Alligator mississippiensis: one gene and its partner. Each later gene encodes a partner of the first gene's protein in a complex. Links are inferred from orthologs where the notes say so. Each region holds a gene or a part of one and is shown on either strand. Other genes may lie near its edges.

The links.
Region 2: the proteins of WDR20 (region 1) and USP46 are in contact, whole or in part, in a crystal structure (PDB 6JLQ), measured with the Homo sapiens proteins. The link is inferred for Alligator mississippiensis from reciprocal best matches to the Homo sapiens genes WDR20 and USP46. Residues at the interface, in NP_653175.2 of Homo sapiens: Asn41, Ser42, Gly44, Arg151, Lys259, Tyr261, Phe262, Gly263, Glu282, Asp283, Asp284, Leu285, His301, Lys304, Ser305, Trp306, Gln374, Asp375, Thr376, Leu509, Arg516, Met517, His533, Glu534, Arg535; in NP_073743.2 of Homo sapiens: Asn205, Thr206, Ser207, Thr209, His210, Arg213, Arg273, Val275, Phe276, Pro277, Glu279, Leu280, Arg281, Phe283, Asp293, Met295, Gln338, Glu342, Tyr344, Thr347, Ser348.

What each region holds. Positions count from the first base shown.
Region 1 is NC_081825.1:284,945,657-284,953,290, reverse strand, and holds the start of WDR20 (WD repeat-containing protein 20), read right to left. Parts: upstream 3,004-7,634; 5' UTR 2,960-3,003; coding exon 2,696-2,959; intron 1-2,695. UniProt on the Homo sapiens protein: Regulator of deubiquitinating complexes. Activates deubiquitinating activity of complexes containing USP12. Anchors at the base of the ubiquitin-contacting loop of USP12 and remotely modulates the catalytic center of the enzyme.
Region 2 is NC_081825.1:58,528,121-58,535,015, reverse strand, and holds the start of USP46 (ubiquitin carboxyl-terminal hydrolase 46), read left to right. Parts: upstream 1-3,878; 5' UTR 3,879-4,203; coding exon of another isoform or gene 4,204-4,239; intron 4,240-5,066; 5' UTR 5,067-5,107; coding exon 5,108-5,188; intron 5,189-6,895. UniProt on the Homo sapiens protein: Deubiquitinating enzyme that plays a role in behavior, possibly by regulating GABA action. May act by mediating the deubiquitination of GAD1/GAD67.

The DNA of each region.
Region 1 (7,634 bases):
TCTCTCATAGCACAAAAGCAGTTTTATACCCCAATCATCTTTGTTGCCCTTCTCTGAACCTTTTCTAAGTCAGGTATATTCTTTTGAGATGGAGTGACCAGAACTGCAAGAAGTCAAAATGTGACTGTACTACATTTTATGTAAGAACATTTTCCATTTCTTCATATAAATTCCTAATGATACTTAATATTTTTAATTTGCCTTTTTGACTACCAGTGCACTGTGAGCTCATGTTTTTAGAGAAATTTCCACAGGGACATCAAAATCTTTCTTGAGTAGTAATAACTAATACAGAGGCCATCACTGGGGATGTATAGCCTGGGTTATTTTTCCCCCTTTGGCAGGGATCATTTCAATGCTGATATGCCTCTTTATTACCCTCAGTTTTAAGAGATTTTCCTGCAACTCCATTAGCCTTAGTTTTGATTATCAAGAACAAAATTGTATCACCTACAAACTTTGCCACTTAACTACCTCCCTTTTCCAGATCATTTCTGAATGTGCAGAACAGCACAGGTCCCAGCATAGCTCTCTGAAGGACCTCACCGTTTACCTTCCTCCATTCTGAAAAGTCACCATCTAATCCTACACTTCAACTCCTACCCTTTAACCAGTTTTCAGTACGTGAAAGGGCCTTCTTCCCCTTCTGATTCCAGGACAGCCTACTTTCTTTCAGCTTTTTGCAAGAGACTGTCAGCGGCTTTTTGCAAATCCAAGTATACTGTAACAACTGTATCCTCCTTATCCACACATGCTTGTTGCCATACTCAAAGAACTCCAGCAGACTGCTAAGAGAAAGTTTTGCATATCTAAAGGTTTCTTTATATCAGTAATGCTCATTGGAGCCACTACTCAGAAAGCAGTTGCAAGAGTTTAATAATTTACTTTGCAACTCTTCCATAGCTGAATCAAGTATTATATATATTAAAGAAGAATCAGTAACCTGCAAAAAAGCTCTGCTACAGAAACAGTTATCTAAACCTGGTGGAAAGCCCGTGCCCCTAGTAGAGGTCAGTGGAATAATTCACACTGACTTCAGTCAAAACAAGAGACTTTTAACTCTAGTTGGCAATAAGAAAGATGTAAAAATAACAATTTATTTTGTAGTTTCAACAAGACGACAAATTTGCATGTGTTATAATTAACTTAAAGTTTTTGAACCGATTTATTCTAAATGGATTAGGAAAGTAACCAAGTCTATTGAAGAAAATTATTTTTAAAAAAGAAAAAAAAAACTTTAACCCTCAAGTTACATAAATAAAACTATCATCTCTTTTATAGCCTTTATCAAATTGGTAAAATTGCTGACAAGCTCTTAAATACAAATTTCATTACAACTCTCTTGTATGTTTTACAATGTTGTTCAGAGGAAAACAGGCATCTAGTATAATGTTTATTCTTATGCATCAAAACCCCTAAGTTAGACACCCAATGGGCAGATATAGGAGCATTTTCAACAGCATGTAATGAAGTGAGCTCAGGCTCACAAAAGTTCATACTATGCATGTCTTATTTAGTTAAGGATGCAAATCTACTCTGCCTTCAACATTTTACCCACCCACAAACGTAAATACCATTTTACTGAAGAGATACTGAAAAACTATTTAAAAACAGCAAATAAAGTGTATAAACTTTAAAGCTGGCACGTAGAAGTTTCCTGGTCTAGAGACACTCTCACCCATTGGATTTTTCTTTACTTTTAAGAAAGATCAATTAAAAAAGGAGATTGGCAAGGGTCACATGTACTGTAATTGGGCTACATGAAAGCCTGCTCCAAGTAAAACAGTTGCAGAAATCTGCAGCTATTCCCTACACACAACAGACACAGAAGTCTAGATTATATGGGTGGCAGAATAAAGAGAGGAGGCTGCTGCCAGTGATCTGTGGACACTGCATCCTCCCTATAGAAAGGAAAGTAGTAAAGCTAGCAACTGTTTCGCATGAGTGAGAAATATTTCTGTTCAAACACCAGATACTTTTCAGGAACTTAAAAAAAGACCAGTTGATAATTAAGTCTTGAAATTCACAAATGTGGCTGAGAGCCGCCCAAACAAGCCGGACTGACCCAGCAGGCATGAAGGCGAACAAGCGCATGTACCCATTTCACAGAAACTAGTAATGGATGGGATCCAGTGGGCCCTCAGTCACTGACAACCGAACCTCAGCTCCTGGCTGTGCTTAGCAAGGAGCGGTTGGGGCACTCCCCAGGGACCCCGGAGACCCAGGCAGCATTTCCACAAGCCTCCCCTCATGACCTTGGGCAAGTCGCTGGCTCTCCTCGTGCCTCGGCTTCCCACCCCGACCGAGCACAGGGGCCCGGGGGGGGGGGGGGGGGGGGGGGGGGCGAGGGTCCCAAAGGCGGTAGAGATTACACACCCCTCTCTCCCTATGCCGACATCGCTGCCTCTGCCCACGTCCAGCAGCGCAGTTGTCTCCTGGCCCAGGGAAAGAAGCCAGACCGGGGCCTCGAGCACTCACGGGGCACCAACAAGAGACTGCGATCAGGGGACGGCCGAGGCCGGCCAGGCCCCGCGCAGCGACACGGGCCAGCGCCGGGGGCACCTGGCGGCAAAGGCCCCGCCGCGCGGGCGCAGCCCCGCCTGACGCAGCGCGTCCCCCGGGCCTGGGCTCCCTCCCCCGGGGCACAGCTGCGGGCGCAGGCCCCCACCCCGCAGCAGCCCCGGCCCCGCGGTACCTTGCGGACCCCCTTGTAGATGTAGAAGTAGAGCTCCCGGCCCACATTGAAGCAGAGCCGGTCGCCGTTGCCGCTCTGGTCGTTGACGTTGACGAAGGAGACGCGGACCGGGTTGGAGCCCTGCGAGTTGAAGGGCACGCGGTTGGGCCGGCTGTACTCCGAGTGGCTCAGCAACTTGTACACCCCCTCCCGGGTGGTGAACTGGGTCTTAATCTCGTTCATCTCCTTCCCTCCTCCCTCCGCCGCCATCTTGGAAAGGAGCATTCATCCTGCCCCAGTGCCCGGATGTAGCCCCACTGCGCAGGCGCCGCCGCTCACTCGCCCTGCCCGGGGGCGTCCGCGCAGGCGCCGTGCTGGGGGAGGAGCCGCTCGCCTGTTTACGGCGCCACTGCGCATGAGCGGGCGGGGCTGCTGCCCGCTTAGCCCCAGCCGCGGAGGGGGGCGGGGCTTCTCCTCGTGGAAAGGGTGGGAATAGAGAGGGGGAGGGGGGGGTAGCTGTCCAGCGCATGCGCAGAGGCGTAGTAAACAGGCCACCGTGCTCTGGCCCACGTGCCTCCCCAAGGTGGATAAAAAAACGATTAAAAAAAATATATTTTTTTTTTTAATTTCAAACAGATTTTTTTTTAATTTAATCTTTTTTTGGTTAAGATGCTTTTTTAAAAAAACCATATAGAGTTTTAATTTATGTTAAAGCTCAAAGGTATCATGGAATTGGGATTATAACTTATAGTCATATACTATTTGAGACAATATATTCATTAAACCTTTTTAGATGTTTTATTAATAGGTCACAGCAGGCCATGGGCTATATATTAGGGGCCCAGATCCTGCCTGACTAACCTTGTTTCCTTTTATGACCAGGTCACAAAGTCCTTGGATGCAGGTGTTGAGGTGGATGTCGTCTACCTGGACTTCAAGAAGGCCTTTGACACTGTTTCTCACCCCATGCTCATAAAAAATCTAGGCAACTGTGGCATTGATGCCTACACAGTCAGATGGGTGGCAAATTGGCTCAATGGTCGTACCCAGGGAGTGGTGGTGGACAGGTCATTTTCAACCTGGAGGGATGTGGGCAGTGGAGTTCCCCAGGGCTCGGTCCTTGGGCCTGTGCTATTCAACATCTTTATCAGTGACTTAGAGGTGGACGTGGAAAGCACGCTGTCCAAATTCACTGATGACACAAAGATGTGGGGGAGAAGTGGGCACACTGGAGGGGAGGGACAGAATTCATCTAGATCTAGACAAGTTACGGAGGTGGGCAGATGAGAATAGGATGGAATTCAATGCAGACAAGTGCAGGGTGCTGCATCTATGGAGAAGGAACCTGCAGCATACCTATAGGCTAGGGAACACCCTTCTTATTAACACAGTAGCCGAAAGGGATCTTGGAGTCATTGTTGACTCCAGGACGGACATGAACAGCCAATGCAAGGAAGTGGTCAATAAGGTAACTACACCTTGTGCATCTACAGATGCATCACAAGCAGGTCCAGGGAAGTGATCCTTCCCCTCTATGCAGTGCTGGTTAGGCCATAGTTGGAGTATTGCATCCAGTTCTGGGCACTGCACTTGAAGAGGGATGTGGCTAACCTTGAGAGGGTTCAGAGGAGGGCCACTCGTATGGTCCAGGTGCAGCAGGCCAGGCCCTATGAAGATAGACTAAAGGGCCTGAATCTATTCAGCCTCCACAAGAGAAGACTAAGAGGGGATCTGGTGGCTGTCTATAAATTTGCCAGGGAGGACCAGCAGAAAATAGATGAGGCTGTGTTCCCGTGGGCATCACCTGGAATAACAAGGGATAACAGCCACAAATTGATTGAAAGCAAGTTCAGGCTTGATACCAGGAGGCATTACTTAAGCCATACATTATGGTTAGGGCTGCCAGGCTCTAGAATGGGCTCCCAAGGGAAGTGGTGCGCTCCCCTACCTTGGGGGTCTTCAAGAGGAGGTTGGATAGATATCTGGCTGGGGTATTATGATCCCAGCACTCATTCCTGCCCAGGGCAGGGGGTCGAACTTGATGATCTGTTCAGGTCTGTTCTGCCCCTAGAAACTATGAAACTGGATTTGTGTCTCTAGAGCACATAGACAGACAAGGTTCTTTGGGTAGATACAATAGCTTTTATTAGACCAACTAAATAGTTGAAAAAATTGTTCTTTGCAAACTTTTGGGCACAAACGCCCTTCTTCAAGCACAGGGGGAGCATGTTGTCTCTAGAGATAACATCCTTGTGAACAGCAGTGTATGGAGGTGAGAGCGAACAGACCTGATTACCCACTCATCAGCCCTGTTGTCTCTCTGCAAGTTTGTGTACACACAGTCAAGCCCTTACCTCTTAGTGCAAAGTTTCAAGAAGTTAATAAAGGATATCAAACTACAAGAATGCACTTTTTTTAGAAACCAATTATTAAATCGAGGCTCCCTTACCAGTGATTTAAATCATGATTTAATTTGATTTGAATCAAATCCACCCTGGTTTTCCCGTCTTGCAGCAGAGAGCAGGGGTTTGCTTAGGGGGGAGGCAGGGGATCTTCTGAGGGTGACACTGATTAGAGGCGCTGGTGCTTCTGCTGGGGGTTAGGGCCTGGAAGGCAAAGGAGGTGGGGGGCAGTGAGAGCTGCAGTGGGGAGAGGCCCTGGTGCCTGGAGTGGGCAAAGTTGTCAAGCTCAGTCTTCCCCCTGCATTTCAGTAGCCCACACCCAGGCTAAGGTGCACTAGAATGAGTGTGGGTCTGAGCCTCTGGGTCTGGTGATGTGGGTCTGACACCAACACACTCCTGAGGACATCTCGCCTCTGGGGACAGTGTTGCTGCAGACCTGTTAAGAGGCAATAAAGGCATGAGTGACCAAGGCAGAAGGAAGTTAGAGTTGCACCTGTCACAACCCAAGTTGTGAGTTTTTGTTTTGTGTGCTTCGGCACAGCTAAATTGCTCCCCGCTAAATTGTTCCCTCCAAATTGCAGCTTCTTTGCACGGTGGAGTTTTCTGCTGCAACAGAGAACCCCGGGTGCAAAAGAAGTTCCCGCCAATTCGTAGCTTTCTTTGCAGTGTGCATTTCTAAGTTGCAGCACGGTGATGCACGTTGCAAAGAGTTCCTGCCATTTGTATTCTAATTCGAGCCCCATTATTGGTTTACGTTAAATTATTCACATGTGACAGCTAGCGATTGGCCTGCTAGCCGTATAAAAGGCTTGTGTGGTTTCCGCCCTAGTTGGAGGACTCCACGAACACCAGGAGAAGGAGACTTCACGCTGTGTGAAGATCTCTAAGCGCTGCGGATCCTCACGGACCCAAAGCATTTTAAGCAGGCAACAGAGGTCTGATCAGCCTCTAGCCTCTCCCCGTCGCCGTACGATCCTAGACGTATCCTTCCCTGCACGCCAAAGAGACGGATCCACGGAGCCTAGCAAACTTCGTGTGAGTGAGTCTATTCAGAGCTCTTTACCGGACGGACTTTCTCCGGTTGGTCTGACAGGCTCGCGGTTTAGAGCCTCCAACCGGATGGGCTAGAAGAGTGTTCCCGGAGGAACTCTAGTCCGCCTCTCTTCTTTTCTATCCGCAACTGTAACTCAAGCAAGTTCTCAGCCTGCACCGCGACCATCTCGGTGTAAGTAAACAATCTTAAAATCAACCGTTACGCGTCTGTGCCTAATTCTAGCTCGGCGACCTCCTTCTCTGACCCGGCCTGCCCAGGCTGCCGGCCACAGCCCGCGTGCAGAGCGACAAAAAGGGCCCGGGGCTTGACCCAGCCCGCACAGCACCTTGCAGACTAAATTGGAGATGTGCAAGCCTTACTAAGCAGCAGCTTCCTAGCTTCTGATGAAGCAAACTGTCGCTTACTTGTGTAGCTCTGATTCAGTCTGATGCCAATCTACCCTGCCTTCTGTCTGTGGCAAGCTAGTGTGGCTCCCTGTCTGAATAACTGAGGCCAGGTTAATGTCTGCCAGGGTTAGTGAGAGCCACTTATCAAGCCAAAAATGATAGGCAAGTTACTTGTGAGAATTTTAGTGTTAGTGAGGAAGCCAAAAGCATTCCCAAACTACATGTTGAATTGAGCAATTGTGCCTCAGTCAAAGGCGATTTCACCATGCAAACTCTTCAAACCCAGTTTGACCCCACACCTGTCAGGTTCAGCTTCAGCCAGCTGTTATTTCTCTGCAGGGCCATCTCAGTAGTAGTGGCTTAATAGCGTGTGGTGAGGGACTGGTAGAGCTGTTATCTGTTTATTGCCACCACTTGAGTCTTTATCAGACCAGTTGACATAGTGGTTGTTTAAAGAATTGATCCTTATGAAATTCCATGTAAGAGGGATCTACTGGAGGAAGCACAGTTTTCCTGTTACTACTTGTGGACTGTGTCCTTCTGAAAAGGACTCAGAATATTTCCTTGGATCCTTAATGCCTCTCTCAGGTAAAACATATCTCAAGGTCAACGTGCTACAGACAGTTTCAGGCAGATGAGAGTGGATGTCTGCCATCTATCCACTGACAGTAGATTTGTTCCTAACTTTATTTCAGCTACATGTCCTAGCCTAACTCCAGGGTGTGCTACATCTAGAATATTAGCTTCAGATAGTTAGGCTTCTCTAGCGATCTTTTGACTAAATTATCTATGAGCTTGTTTGGGAATCCTAAGTTTGACACTGGGGAGTACTGTCTAGAATCAATGCGTCTAAAGTGAGTTTCTTCAGTGTTTGTCAAACTACAGCACATTTGGAAATGAAAGAAAAGGTCACTTCTCTGAATGATGCTTTGGCTATTTTGATCTTAAATCATTGGTGACACGTAGGGGGTGCATGCGGGCGCATGTGCACCCCCTGAGATTGGCGATACACACTCTGAAAAGTGCTGCCGACACTGCCAGTGGTGCTGGCAGGCGGTCGCTGCTCACCATCCCCCGCCTCCCCACCACCGACACTACCAGTGGTGTCTGTGGGCAGT
Region 2 (6,895 bases), about 230 Mb from region 1:
TGAGGGTCTCCAGACCCTCCCACCGAGGTTCAGCCAGGGCCCTGGGTGGTCATCGTCGAGAGGCAACGCAGAGACCAGGGAAGACACCAGTAGGGGGATAGCCGCAAAAAGACTCAGAGGCCCGTCTCTAAGGGTGGCACATTGGGTGTAGGGGAGGTTGGAGCCCCGTGAACGCCCGCCAAGATGCGTGAGGACTCGAGGCACCCTCAAAGGGGACCCCCCCCCACACTAAAGAACCACTCAGAGTCGTGGCAGGTGAGTTAGGAGGTCACCCTGAAGACAGCCGAGGTGCCCTCTGCGGTCTGCACGTAGGTCCCTGGCAAGCAAGATCAGCTGCTCGGGCAAAGGTGGCGCGGAAGCGTACAATAGAGCGGAGGCGGGCACAGATGCCAATCAAACCTTGTAAATTACCCAGTGCCAAACAAACTATTTTGGTATCCTTTCTTGATAAACTACAAACATTTCACAGCATTCTTTCAGGCTGTAGACTGTTGAATCAATCCATAATTCTGCTACTAAATATTTTTTTCTATGGCACTACTTGGCATTCTATAAAGTTGTTTCTACATTGTCTTATCCATTGTTGTATCTTTCCTTCCAGTCGTCTTTTCCCTAATCTCATCATCACTTTTATATGAAACTAGCCAATTGCCCATCAAGAATGACAAGGGGGAGGGGGCTGGGATGGAGTGCTGCCACCTAACACCCCATGCTGCCACTATTCTGCCTCTTCCAGGGAGCAGGATGGGGGAGCTGAGGCCAGTGCTGTTGGCCTCGGCTCCCCCACCGCCTGTCCAGTCCTTGGTGCCGCTTGCAGGGAGCGCTGCTGGCTTTGGTTCCCCCACCCTCTGTCCAGGCCTCAGCGCAGCTTTGGAATCATGGCAGTGCTCCCCCATGATTGGAGCACTCTGATTGCCTGTTTCCATAGTCAATCAGAGTGTGAATAAAGCGTTATGGACAGACAGACTTTGGCTTTTTTAATGTTAAAATGTTTAAGATTTAAAGAAGTATTTTTTCATGTTTCTTGATTTACTTGCAAATAAAGACCAGAGATTGTATTGAGATGAGACCAGATTTACTTGGTCTCATCTCAATACAATTACTTTGAACTGTTTCAGATTCATTTCTTTCTTATTCCTATTCCTGAAATGCACCGCTAACACAAACCATTTTGATTGGGAGAAACATGAACTATTTCGGTACCTCATGATTGATACATGTGGTATTTATTTTTAATGTTAAAAGCTAAATGAGGAGTTTTACAATGCTGCTAGTCACTTATATCAGTAGAAAAATCAAATAATAACTAAATGTTGTGTGCTGATTATTCCATGATAGCTATTTTTTCAAGACTTTTAAAGATTGTTTTTAAAGTCTTACCTTCTGTCTTGACTTGATGTTTGCAGTAATCAGTGTTGCATTTGCAATTATTGCATGCCTTCACATGTACACATTATGAACTAAAAAAGTGAGCTAAAATAATATTAGGGCCAGATTATTAGCCTGGATCGAATCCTCGTGATGCTCCACTAATTGAAAGAGGTCTTGAAAGTGGCAGTGGGGCACTGTCAATGTCGTAGGAATCCCTTTACAGTATAAAGCCAGCACTCAGGTCTTTGCCGTCTGTTCCTTACGAAAGGAAAGTGACATGTTTGAAGCAGGCTAGGGACAGCAAAAGGCATAGCACTCTAATGATCAGTGGCTGATAAAATGATACCTATGTGGCTCATCTGTATGATTTAGAGCTACTAGTTGGCTTCTCATGCACATTGGAGTCTATTCCAGGCCCTGACTGATCCAGCAGCCAAGTGGAGAGGTGTGTAATGTCACCTCTTGATTCCCACCAGCTTCCCCTTAGCTGGGTTAGGCATAGCTCTGGTGCAGCTGAGAATCTAGGTCTAATGAAATTCAATTCACAGGATTGAATTCATCCGTGTGTAATTCCATGAAGTCAATGGAGGATGAAAGACAAATTTGCTTCTGTGTTTATTTGAGTTTTATATAAAGTAAATTTTGTACTTATTGGGGGACCTGGCTTAATAGCTCTGGTAAACATACAGGTGGAACTTAACATCTGGTTCCCCCACTCCCCCACCATGGCATTAACATGTGTTTACTCTGATTAGTAACGATGAATTCAGGCTACTAGGGATAAGACAGTAGTTCGTCTCCACAGTATCTCAGTCCTTGGCCTCTCCACTGAAACTGTCAGCAGACCAAATTAGTGTCGATTTGGATGGTGACTTTTGTAATATTGGCATTCGTTCACTATGAAGTGGCCTGTGGCCAGCAACATATATTACTAAAACCAAATAACAGCATTCTGCTGGTAACATTTCATTTTCAGTCCTCTTGATCTTTTATTAATGATCGCAGACCTGACCTTATTCTGGAAAAAAACAGGTTCCATTGATTTTAGGGTGTTTTGCCTACCTAAATGCTGTGGGTTCAGGCCCCAGCACAGTGAAGCTGCTATTGTCTAGAATCCTACTGTGGTCAAAAGTATACCCAAATTAGCTTTCAGGCTTTGAGGAGGGAGGAGGAGGAAATGAGGGAGAGGGAGATGAAGAGAAAAACATGTCTTTTGCCCCGTATAGTTATTCTTGCAGTGTTTAATTCTCTGGGGGTAAAGTGGTTGCCTTAATGCAGAACTGGGTGTGTGCCAGCAAGGCAAGTGCCTAGTACTAGGGGTGTGTGAAACAGGCCAAATTCAAATCGATTCGGATTTGGCCTGAATCAGGGACAGCAATTCAATTAGTTGATTCGGATCACTGTCCCTGATTAGATTTAACCGAATCCTAAGATTTTATGCTAATTTGGATAATCAACGATTTGGTCATTTCGTATCAATAGAGTAGCAGAAAACCGAAATGTCCTTTATGATGGCCACCCTACCTGAGCAACAGCTGGAGGTGGAAGGGAGGTGGTGGGAAGGCTAGACTGGGCACTGCTCCTCCTGCCAGGGCGGGGTGGGACAGGGGAAGTGCTGCTGTGAGGGCTCCTACTGCTCACATGTGTGTGTGTGGCACCCCATTGACCATGGTGTCCTGGGCCATCACCCACCATTTCTGGGGAGAAAGTGTGAGCGCATTGTGTCTCAACACAAGTCTTTGTCGTGCCGTACGGGAGCAGCATAGTCATGTTCCCAGTATGTTGTGGGCCTCAGTTCACTGATGGTTGGCAAGTGCTCTGATTAGGGTGGCCATTAAGGTATCTCAAGAAAAGAGGACACTTGCACTGAGGCCCACCACGAATGTCGTGTGCCTCCTGAAGCTGGGGGGCACCCTGAGCCCCTGCAAGCAGCCGTGGCGGGGCGTGGTGGCATTGAGTGGCAAGCTCCTGCAGGGCACTACGGGGGGCAGGGGGTGCCAACTGGTGAAAAATAGAGGATATAAAGGCATCCAGTTTCATATCAATAGAGGACGGAGGACCAGAAAACCGGACCACTTCTATGAAACGGGACAAATGGCCGCCCTAGCTCTGACCCCGGGGCAGGAGGTGCTATGGCAGCGCCAACGCCCAGTCCTTATTTCTTCGGCCCCACGTGCGGAGGCACAGTCCCCAGGGACCTTCAGGTGTGTCTGGGAAGCAGGGGACAGCGCAGCGCAGGGCAGTCCGTGGTGGGGTCTGGAAAGCTCCCGACACCTCACGCTGTTTCATACACAACAAAACCCTGCGGCTTCATTAGGCCGCCGCCGGGACCCCGCCCCGCCCCCACCCCCGCAGGAGCCGCGAAGGCGATTAGCTGCGGCCAGGCCAAGAGCCCGCCCCGCCCCGCCCCGCCGCCCGCAAGGCTCGGGGGCGGCACCTGCCCGTCCTCCCCGCCTCGCCATTGGCTGCCGCACGAGCAGCCCGGGCGGCGGGTTGGCAGGCGCGGATGCCAGTCGCGCCGCGCTGCCCGGAGCTGTCAGCGCTGCCGCGGGCTCTGCGCTAAGCTGCGCCGTGCCGCGATGGAGCGAGGGAACCGGGCCGCCGGGCGGGGGCGGGGGCGGGGGCTGCTGCGGCCGGCCGTGCAGTGCTGCTGAATCGGCTGCTCCGAGGAGCCGCCGCGGGGAGGGCAGAGGCAGGCCGGCAGCCCATGCTCCGCCGCCCGCCGCCGCCTGCCCGGGGGCTCTGGTGCTGCTCCTGCTGCCCCCAGCCATGAGCCCTTCTGTTTTCCCCTGGTAAAGATGGCGGTGGGCGATCGCTGCAACCTTTAGACTCATGACTGTCAGAAACATCGCCTCCATCTGTAATATGGTGAGTACCCGCACGGCCGGGCCGGGAGGGGGCGGGCGGCCGAAGGGTTCCAACTCCGCCCCCAATGCCCCGGGGGAGGGGGCTGCCTCTCGCTGCCCCCTGCCCCTGGCGCCAGGACCTCCAAGAAAGAGGCCCGAGTCAGGATCCTAAATCCCTGGGTAGGCTCCTAGAGTAGGCAGCTTCATTTCCCAAACAGCCGCCCCCCCGCGCTGCAGTCACCCACACTCAATTGTTTCACCAAATCCAGGTGCTTCTTTAAGCACCTCATTATGGACTTGGGCACCAGCTTTAAAATCTTAGCTGCGGGTCCAGGTCCGCCTGCTTAGTCTACCCCCTGTAAGGCATTTCCAAACCCCCACCCAGCTGGGATTTCAGTGGATGCAAATGGGCATTGCTTTCAGCCCCATATGATCCTTGTAGTGCATTTTGAAACACGTCACCTTTCCCATGGTCTTCTAAAAGATCCCAAAAGTGCATTTAAACAGGAACATTTTGTCTCTGTTTTGTTGGGTCCTTGCCCCCCGCAGCCCCACTGCTCGAGGACAGGGAGGGTTGTGCAGTGTACATTCAAGTATACTTTTCATTTTGACACTGTGACTGTCAAGGCTGGTTTATTAGGCCACGTTGCCTGTGGATTTTTAAGATGTTTGTTATCTGGGGGCTCTAAGACTTTCTGGCGAGCGATTTATTCAGTAATTCTAGAATGAAAGCAGTCAAACAAAATAAATCCATGTCAGGAGGAAGTGTTAAATGTCCAAAACAAATAGGGCAAGTGCACATTCCAGCACTTTGTTGTTTTAGTTTATGCTTTTCCCCCTTGTTTTCAGGTTCTTCAAGAGCAGTTACTTGCAGTCGCCAGCTTCCCTCCATGTGGTGCCCCAGCATACCCTTTGCTGGTGATGTCACACCTACCATTCATCAGCACTGGAGAATGGAGCCTACCTATAGGGTAAGGCAGTGGTTCTCAACCTCTGAGTTGTGACCTCCATGGGGGCCACCAGCAGTTGTTCAAGGGGGATGAGGGTTGTGAGCCTGCTCTCAGTCTGGGTCCAGTCTTCCACTGAAGTGGGTTTGCTTGCAACCAGTCATTCTTGGATGCCAGGAGCACCCCACCCACAGTTCTACCAGGTCCTCACTACCACCTTTGAAGCACCTGTGCTGAGGTGTATTACTGGAGGACTGGACTTGGATCATACTATGAAAAAGGTTGAGAATCCCTGGGGTAAGATAATCTGGGTTCTTACCTTTCCTCTCCAATATTATGTGATTTTTCTAAAGTTTTTATTGCACTTATTTTTTTTAACCACATGGGACAAGAGGCAAGCATATTGCAAAGAAATATTTAGGAAACCATGCGGTATTGGGGGAGAAAAACCTGGATTTACTTACCTTACCCTATAGGCAGCGTTCAGTTTATATTGTTGATGAATGGTGGATGTGATCACCATAAAAATGCATAACAAAGCATCACATGAAGGGAAGCTGGAGATTGATAGCTGGTTACAAAGATTTAACATTGGCATGCAGCCTTAAGAAACCTCTGTTTTCATAACACGTGCCCAGATTTTTCCATATAGACAAGCTTTTGCATAATATTTCTCCCTCGGGGTCTAGGAGGGCATCACACAAAACTGAACTAGGCCTGCATTAATTCAGGCTAGTGCTGCTCTTACTACTATCAATAGACATCTGCAAAAGTAGCATTTTAATATAATGGAGGAATTAAAGAGGGCAATGAAGCAGTCAAACAGAAAAGGGGGAACAAGAACAGAACAAGTGAGAACAACTCATACTTCAGGACTAAGTTTGGTTCCTTACTCTCTTCCTGGTGTCCTGGGTGACAAGAATGTGGAAGGAGCAGACTCAGCCTTTGAGGAAAGGATGCATTTGTATTCAGCATGGGTAACACAAAGTGTAAAAATACTACAATTCAGATATCTACATGTCATAAGCTTGATGCAAAAATAATGGTTTTTAAAAGGAAATGAATATTGGGATTGTTGTATTCTGCTTTTTGCATCTTTGGGTGATTCTAGTTCTGTTTACAAGCTTTGACCACTATAGCCACAGAGGTTAGAACCTCTTTTGGGAAAAAAAGAAAGCTGAGATTCTTGCAGCATTCCAGGAAGCGAAGAGAATTTAAGAAAGACATAAAATACTATAAGAGTTGGTGATGCTCTAGTTACTGGACCTCTGAAAATGAGCATAGCTGCTCGAAGGAGCTATATCAGTGGACCCTAGAGGAACCTAGGTCAACCCTAAATAAGATGACTTCTGTGATACATACTCTGTTGCAGGGGGAGCCAAGAGATCTAAAAGACTCCCAAAAAGAAGAAAACAAAATAGTAAGGTGGAGAAAGAGTAATACAAATAAGGATGTCATTAGCAGAGGCACTACCAGTACAAAGGAGAAAGCATTAGTGCCATTGTTCAAGGGACTGGTAAGATCTCATCTAGAATAATTTGTACAATTCTGGTCACCCATGTTCAAGAAGGAGGAATTCAAACTGCAACAGGTGCAGAGAAGGGCTACTATGATGATCACTGGAATGGAGAACCTATTTAGTGAGAGGAAACTAAAAGATCTTCGCTTGCTTAGCCTTGTAAAACAAAGGCTGTGTGTGGATATAACTGTGTACTACACTCACTAGCACCA